Macaca mulatta: one gene and its partner. The protein of the gene in region 2 purifies or fractionates together with the protein of the main gene of each other region. This does not show direct contact. Links are inferred from orthologs where the notes say so. Each region holds a gene or a part of one and is shown on either strand. Other genes may lie near its edges. The genes, in order: RAC1 and IQGAP2.

Region 1 (3,818 bases), on a different chromosome or scaffold from region 2:
TGTTTTTTTTTTGGTGGAGAGCTCTCTCTCTCGTCCAGGCTGGTCTAGAATTCCTGGGCTCAAGCACTCCTCCTGCCTCAACATCCCAAAGCTCTGGGCTTACAGGCGTAAGCCACCCAGCCAGCCTCTGGAAAGGACCTTAAGGGTGTGTGGGGTTCACCAACCTCTACTCTTCCATGGCCAGTCTAGGGTCCCAACGTCTGCATCTTCAGCCCCAAGCTCTGGGCCAGGATGTGCACAGCCCCCGACGCACGTTTCTCCACCAGAGCTTCGCCGCTGTTCGACAGGTCCAAACGTGAACGTCACCTCCACTCCTGCCGTATTGTTTGGGCTCACCCAGTTCTCCCCTGGAGGTGGCACTCCCTCTGTCCCTCCTGTGTGGAGACATGCATTGAAAATGACTGTCTCCAACAACCCGGGACTTTAAAGCGAGGCAAACAAACGCACACCAGGAACTTGTTCATCAAGTCTCAAAAACACCAGTATTACCAGTTGTATGATTCAAGGATTTATTAAGTCATACATGCAAAACATAATGCTAACTGCATTAGCAAAAGATCAATGTAAAAACACTCCACAATTCTGCAACTGTCAATTTAAAAAATCCTGTTGTCGTGGCTGAAAGGTTCCGCGTTGTATTCTTGCCGGTGAGTTAAGTTGTACAGAACATTGTCAGCACTAGCACAGTTTACAGAACCTCACAGACCCAAAGGAACATCATTAGGCAAAGCGACTACAGGAGGCGTGTGTCTGCGTGGGCGAGGTAAAGAGGGTCAGTATTGGTCAAGTGACAGTGTCAGTAATCTGGCAAGACAGTGATGTTAAGAAGGTTCATAGTTTAAGAATTATCTAAAATATTTTAAAAACTATAAAGCTGCAACACATGATTTTTACACCTAGTTACTAGAAAACTAAGGAAAGCACTTATTAGCTTTGAATAAAGTAACATGGAAAGCACTTTTACTCATCTACAAAAAAACCTTCTAATGCATTATCAGAAAGATTTTATAATACAAGGAGGCATATTGCTCAGTAAGAAGGGGTCCTATAAGAAAAGCACTTACTAAGTTAGCGACTAAGGGAACGACCAGTTTAAAGATGAATTAAATGCCCAATTTGGGGAGGGATGGCAGGTGTAAGAGAAAGGAAAAGCTTAAGAACATTTCCTGATAATACCAACCTTTCTTTCATCATCTACTGCATTTGACAGAAATTAACCTTTTAGAGTTTTTACCCGTGACACTTTTGTTCCTTGTACAATGTAGTGTAAATCTCCACTTCGTATTTTGTCAAAATACTGTCTTTGTCCTTTGATCACACACACCCCACCCGGCACACCCACAGCTAAACAGAATTCTTCATTAGAGGAAACACGAGTTCTGTTCAAAATCTCCGCAAGAGCTGGTCAGAAAACTCACTATGAAATCAAAAAGACTGATCCAAAGAGCTGAGCTGTTACACTCACTCCATTACAGTACAATGTTATGTCGTGAACATGGGCCGCTAAATCACTGGTGAGTTCAATGGCAACGCACCATTCGGGAGGCTGTTCTGCTTTACACATCTGAGAACTACTGAGCAAGTGTCTGCATCTCCTAACTGCAGAGGCTACAGTCTTCTCAAAGACGAAGGTCCTTACACAGTTTAGTGCTTGGTGTTCTTAGCACAACAATGCAGTGTAGTTCAGAAGGTATTTTGGCAACTCTTAATCTGAGCAAGAATAGGGTGGGCTTTTGAAAAATAAGGCTTTAAGAAGGTTTGTCATTTTAGGGCTAAATTTTAATAGAATGTGAGTCTGAACTCTTACATTTAGAACAAACAAAAACCTTCAAATTACTGATTGGTTCAAAATGGTTTTATGGAAAAATCAATCTGTAACAAAAAGTTGGCATTGAGTGCGAAGGCTCCACCGTTTTTTTTTTTTTTTTTGAGCAAAGCGTACAAAGGTTCCAAGGGACAGGACCAAGAACGAGGGGCTCAGACGTTTACAACAGCAGGCATTTTCTCTTCCTCTTCTTCACGGGAGGTGGGCAGAGGACTGCTCGGATCGCTTCGTCAAACACTGTCTTGAGGCCTCGCTGTGTGAGCGCCGAGCACTCCAGGTATTTCACAGCACCTACAGGAAAACACAACCACACAGCAGTGTACACTTGAGCCCACTCTCTTCTGATCACAACACCGGCGGGAGGCAGCTCCGGGGGCCTGGGCACTTTCTGCCGGCTCCCAGCCCTGCGTCCACCTTCCAACGCTGACATTAAGACCCAGAAGGCGATGCCAGCTGGTTCCCCAAGAGTACAACCAGGCCCTGAGTGGGAGACACACACCCTCCTTTCCCAGACTGGACTCCAGTCTCTGTCACTACAATAAAAGAGGTACAAGGCAGAGGAAAAACGCAGGATTCCATACCAATCTCCTTAGCCATGGCTAGACCCTGTGGATAGGTGATGGGAGTCAGCTTCTTCTCCTTCAGTTTCTCGATCGTGTCTTTATCATCCCTAAGATCAAGTTTAGTTCCCACTAGGATGATGGGAGTGTTGGGACAGTGGTGCCGCACCTCAGGATACCACTAGATGTGAAGAAGGAACAGAGGTTGTGATGTGCTCCTTTACAGACGCCCTTCACCTAAATCACACCCAGCCGGCGGCACTTGTGCCAGACACCTAACCTCAGGCACAGCCTCCCCACCGAGCCTTCATGTGGTTCCCACCTTCAATCTGAGCCTTGAGCCATAAGAAACATCTCAGGTGTTCCATGAGCAAGCTAGGACTCTGGATCATGGCCGGACAGAACCACGACCAGAGAGAATGGGCTCTACAACCGCAAGGGAAGAGGCGGAAGGGAAGAGAGTTCCTCCCAAAGCAAATAAACCACTTTGTTTTTGGTAAAACAAGTTCTTAGGGTCATCTGAGAAAATTCATCATCTGTTCAGAAACGAGAATAAACTACCTAGCCCAAGGTCTCAGGTCTGCCGCCATTATCCCCACTGAAAATGTCCCTACTGAAGGGCCTGTCTCGTCATTTTCACTAAGAAGTTTGTGAAAGAGACTGGAGTAGAAAGAAATGGTGGTTAGTTTTATTAGACCAATTCTGAGTGCCTCATTATTTTAATGAGGTCCAGGAAACTTCTGAACCAGAACCTGAAGCTTTAAAAATCCACATATTAGGCCAGGCACAGTGGCTCACATCTGAAATCCCAGCACTTTGGGAGTTTGAGGTGGGTGGGTCACTTGAGGCCAGCGGTTTGAGACCAGTCTGGGAAACATGGTGAAACCCCGTCTCTACTAAAAGTACAAAAATTAGCCAGGTGTGGTGGCGGGCGCCTGTAATCCCAGCTACTCAGGAGGCTGAGACAGGAGAATCGCTTGAACCGGGAGGTGGAGGTTGCAGTGAGCCAAGATCGTGCCACTGCACTCCAGCCTGGGTGACAGTGCAAGACTCCATCTCAAAAATAAATAAATAAAAATAAACTGCTGATGGCTCAGGCGCAGTGGCTCACACCCATAATCCCAGCACTTTGGGAGGCTGAAGTGGAAGGATCACTTCAGCCCAGGAGTTTGAGACCAGCCAGGGTGTACAAAACCAGCGCTACAAAAAATTTTTAAAGATTAGCCAGGCACAGCGGCGCACGTTTACTGTCCCAGCAACACAGGAACGGAGGCAGGAGAACTGCAGGAGAACTGTTTGAGCCCAGGAGCTCAAGGCTACAGTGAGCTCCGATGTCACCACCACACTCCAGCCTGGACAACAGGGTGAGACCCCTGTCTCAAAAGAATAAAAAACCCAATCATGTACTTAAGTAGCAAATTCCTATAACCAAT
Region 2 (3,818 bases):
ATGATATGCTATCTTATTCCCTTTGCTCAAAGAAACTTTGCAGGTTTTTCAGAGTTGCTGGTTTGTGATTCCCTTATAAGAATAAAGCTCTCTGACTGCCTCTGTTGGTTTAGTTCAGGACTCTCCATAAACATGGCTGATGTGTGAGAGTTTAGCTGGGTTCTGAACATTCAGGGTTCTCATAGCCACATTTCAATAGATAATCTAGTTTTAGTTTCCTCAGCTAGACTATCCAGGAATCGAAATCCTTCCATCTGGGGAATTACAAAGTAGCAGTTATCCATTAAAATATGTCCGTTACTATGGTGATTTGTCACTTTGGCAATAAAGCAGCTATTGATAATTGTTCCCAAATAAGGCTTGCTCTCAAAAAGATGAAGTAATTCCTTTCAAACTTCAAATCTCAGGAAGAACATGTTCTGGTTCTAGTCTTTGAACTTTGGCTGGAGGACTACTTTCATTTTGACATTAACTTGCATTGTGTAGCTTATGAACTGTGAAATTAGGGGATCAGAGAAAAATCAGCACCTTGATATTCTCTTTTCAGGAGGCAGACCATGCCACGGACATGGTGAGCCGTGCAATGATAGATTCCAGGACTCCAGAAGAAATGAAGCATAGCCAATCTATGATTGAAGATGCACAGCTGCCTCTTGAGCAGAAGAAGAGGAAAATCCAGAGGAATCTTCGGACATTGGAACAGACTGGACACGTGTCATCCAAAAATAAATACCAAGACATTCTCAATGAGATTGCCAAGGTTTTTGGAAACAGTATTCTTTCTTCTTCACTTAGCAGACATTTGCTAATCACCAGTCAAGTGCTGGGCACTCTGTGAGGTGGCATTAGGGATTCATGGTTGCATATGCTGTGGTTACTGCACTCTTCAATGTTACAGATTTTTAAAGGTTTCAAAGCACTTGATGACTTTTTTTTTTTTTTTTTTTTTTTTTTTGAGGTGGAGTCTCACTCTGCTGCCCAGGCTGGAGTGCAGTGGCGTGATCTCAGCTCTCTATAACCTCTGCCTCCCAGGTTCAAGCGATTCTCCTACCTCAGTCTCCGAAATAGCTGGGACTACAGGCGCACACCACCTCGCCTGGCTAATTTTTGTATTTTTAGTAGAGACAGGATTCCATCATGCTGGCCAGGCTGGTCTCGAAATCCTGACCTGGTGATCTGCCCGCCTCGGCCTCCCAAGCAGTTGATGACTTTTAAGAGAAAATAATCACAACACTTTGAAGTCATTAGGAGAGTTGAAACAGACCAGAAATAAATACTAAAAAATGTACTTGACAAGTTTGGTCTATACCTTTAAGCTAGTTTTAAAAATAACATTATTTGGAAGAGTTTTCTCCTGAGATGTTAGTTGTCATATAGCTCAGTTGCCTTAGAACCTGCCACTGAGATGAACTCTGTGTCCCAGATCATTTGTTTTTAAGCAATTTAACCTAAATGCAGTTCAGACTTGAAGATTAGTTTCTGTTTTCTTATCCCATGTTTTTACACTTGAGAAACTTCCTGAGCAAAGCGTCTCAACTTAGTGCAATGAAACATCACAGGAAGTGGCTGAGATCTGTTTGTCAAGGATAAGGAAGTATATATTTGGGTTAGAAGGATATTTCATTCTTTTTATTCAAACATGCAAATTAATATGGATCTAGAGGTTAAAGGCGGTTAAATGACCAGAAAAAAAATAATAAATTTTCTCATGTTCTAGGAGGGAAATGCGCCCAGCTTTGTTCTTTGATAGAAAGTTATGTTCAATTCTGGCAGTAGGCTTATTCCTTCTAGCCCAAGTGACTCAAGGGCAATAGCATTTCTTTCTTTAGTTTTGGGGTAGAAATATTTCTATTTGGGAATATGGGGTAGATAAATATATGCTTTTGCTTTAAAAAAGAAAAAGGCTATCATGAAGACATGATATTCTATTTAATGAATATTCTATTATATGAAGAATTTCTATTTAATGAAGAATTCTATTTAACAAAGAATATTCTATTCTAATATTCTATTCATGAAGAATTTTTACCTAAGGGCATGGGGAAGTTGTGGGGGGAGTGTATGTGTATGTGGGTATTTGTTTGAATTCCTAGGGGAATGGTTTTTAATTTGTCTACAAAAGAAAAACAATATTAAACAGGCATCATTTTCTTAAGTCAAACACTTTCATAACTTACCAATTAGAATTACCAAAAAAACTTATATCTGCAAGTTTAAATTTAGCATAGCTCTTGTAAGCTATAAGCAGCTTATGCAACTTAATGTTCTAGGAATTCTATTTAAAGCCAAGTAATAGTTATCAATGTTGAATCTTTTCACTCAGTCTTGACAGGCTAGTGTTGTTTTTTCAAACCTTGAGAAATATTTGTCAGATGAAAAAGTTTGTTCTTTTCTTATTTTAAAAATCAATTTAACAATTAAATGTAAACCTTTTTAGTTTAAAGTACTATTCAAAGAGGAATATTCAAAATAGTCTGAAGAGGCCAGGCACAATGGCTCATGCCTATAATTCCAGCACTTTGGGAGGCCAAGGCAGGCAGATCACTTGAGGTCAGGAGTTCAAGACCAGCCTGGCCAACATGGTGAAACCCTGTCTCTACTAAAAATACAAAAATTAACCAGGCATGGTGGCGCAGGCCTGCAGCCCCAGCTGCACAGGAGGCTGAGGCAGGAGAATCACTTGAAGCCCAGGGCATAGGTTGCAGAGATCAGGCCACTGGACTCCAGCCTGGGTGACAGAGTAAGACTCCGTCTTAAAAAAAAAAAAAAAAAAAGTCTGAAGAAATTGCATTTCTGCTGCTTTGTGCCCCTTTTAAAACACAATTTTTCCTTAAACTAAATGTGTAGTTATTCTAAAATAACTTATTTGCCTTTCCATCAAGAAAAAAATTAATGTTAACAAGTCTCTTAAAGTGAAATATGTACACTTTCCCGTTCTGAAGTAAAAAGGGATGGGAACCCTGTGGTGGTGTTGAGAGTAAAATAAGGTACCTGAAATAAGCTACAAGTCAAGTTACAAATAGTGACTTACTACTGCTTGATATTCTTCTTGTCCCAAATTGGCAATATCATAAAGCAAGCTTCTGCTTAAATATGATAGCCCTTACTTGTTGTTTTAGGATATTCGAAATCAAAGAATCTATCGTAAGCTTCGAAAAGCTGAATTGGCAAAACTTCAGCAGACCCTGAATGCACTTAACAAGAAGGCAGCATTTTATGAAGAGCAAATCAATTATTATGACACCTACATAAAGACTTGTTTAGACAACTTAAAAAGAAAGTAAGTTAAAATCATGTCACGTTCATTCGTAATGTCATGATTTATGAGATGTCAGTTCTGCATTTCTATGTATTTGGGTTGGGTATGGAAGAAAACTTTTTGCTCTGTCTTATAACTGAAAACTGGAGTCTCAGTTTTATTATTTGCCACTGTGAACTAAGAAGTCAGGAGCAAATGGAAGCTTTTCAATTCCCCACCAGCACTAGAATTAAAGTGACTTACCTGTTGCATATTGAACAAATAGCATTAGTAGTTGGGGAAGCACTTTCATTGTTCCTTTTGTCTTTTTTAGTCAAAGATTTTTTAAAATACTATTATTTTTAAAATCTCTTGTTTTTGGACTATATTTTGTATAATTGATCATGTTAGTTAATGCCAGATGTTTACTAATTGCACAGAGCAGCTGAATGTTTTTAAATTGCTTAATGGTTTTAAAAAATTACTATTGACACAACTGGCAAAATTTGGTAGCTGTCTATTATCCATTAGCATAAGTATTATAGGTTTTTATATACAGTATAGCCATTTTTAATGAATG

Evidence for each region.
Region 1: the proteins of IQGAP2 (region 2) and RAC1 purify together in Homo sapiens (affinity purification with mass spectrometry; 5 studies listed by BioGRID and IntAct, with this or other methods). This does not show direct contact. The link is inferred for Macaca mulatta from reciprocal best matches to the Homo sapiens genes IQGAP2 and RAC1.

Annotation. Positions count from the first base shown.
Region 1 is NC_133408.1:44,608,596-44,612,413, forward strand, and holds the end of RAC1 (ras-related C3 botulinum toxin substrate 1), read right to left. Parts: intron 2,567-3,818; coding exon 2,407-2,566; intron 2,117-2,406; coding exon 1,986-2,116; 3' UTR 496-1,985; downstream 1-495. UniProt on the Homo sapiens protein: Plasma membrane-associated small GTPase which cycles between active GTP-bound and inactive GDP-bound states.
Region 2 is NC_133411.1:83,058,793-83,062,610, forward strand, and holds part of IQGAP2 (ras GTPase-activating-like protein IQGAP2), read left to right. Parts: intron 1-547; coding exon 548-760; intron 761-3,119; coding exon 3,120-3,280; intron 3,281-3,818. UniProt on the Homo sapiens protein: Binds to activated CDC42 and RAC1 but does not seem to stimulate their GTPase activity. Associates with calmodulin.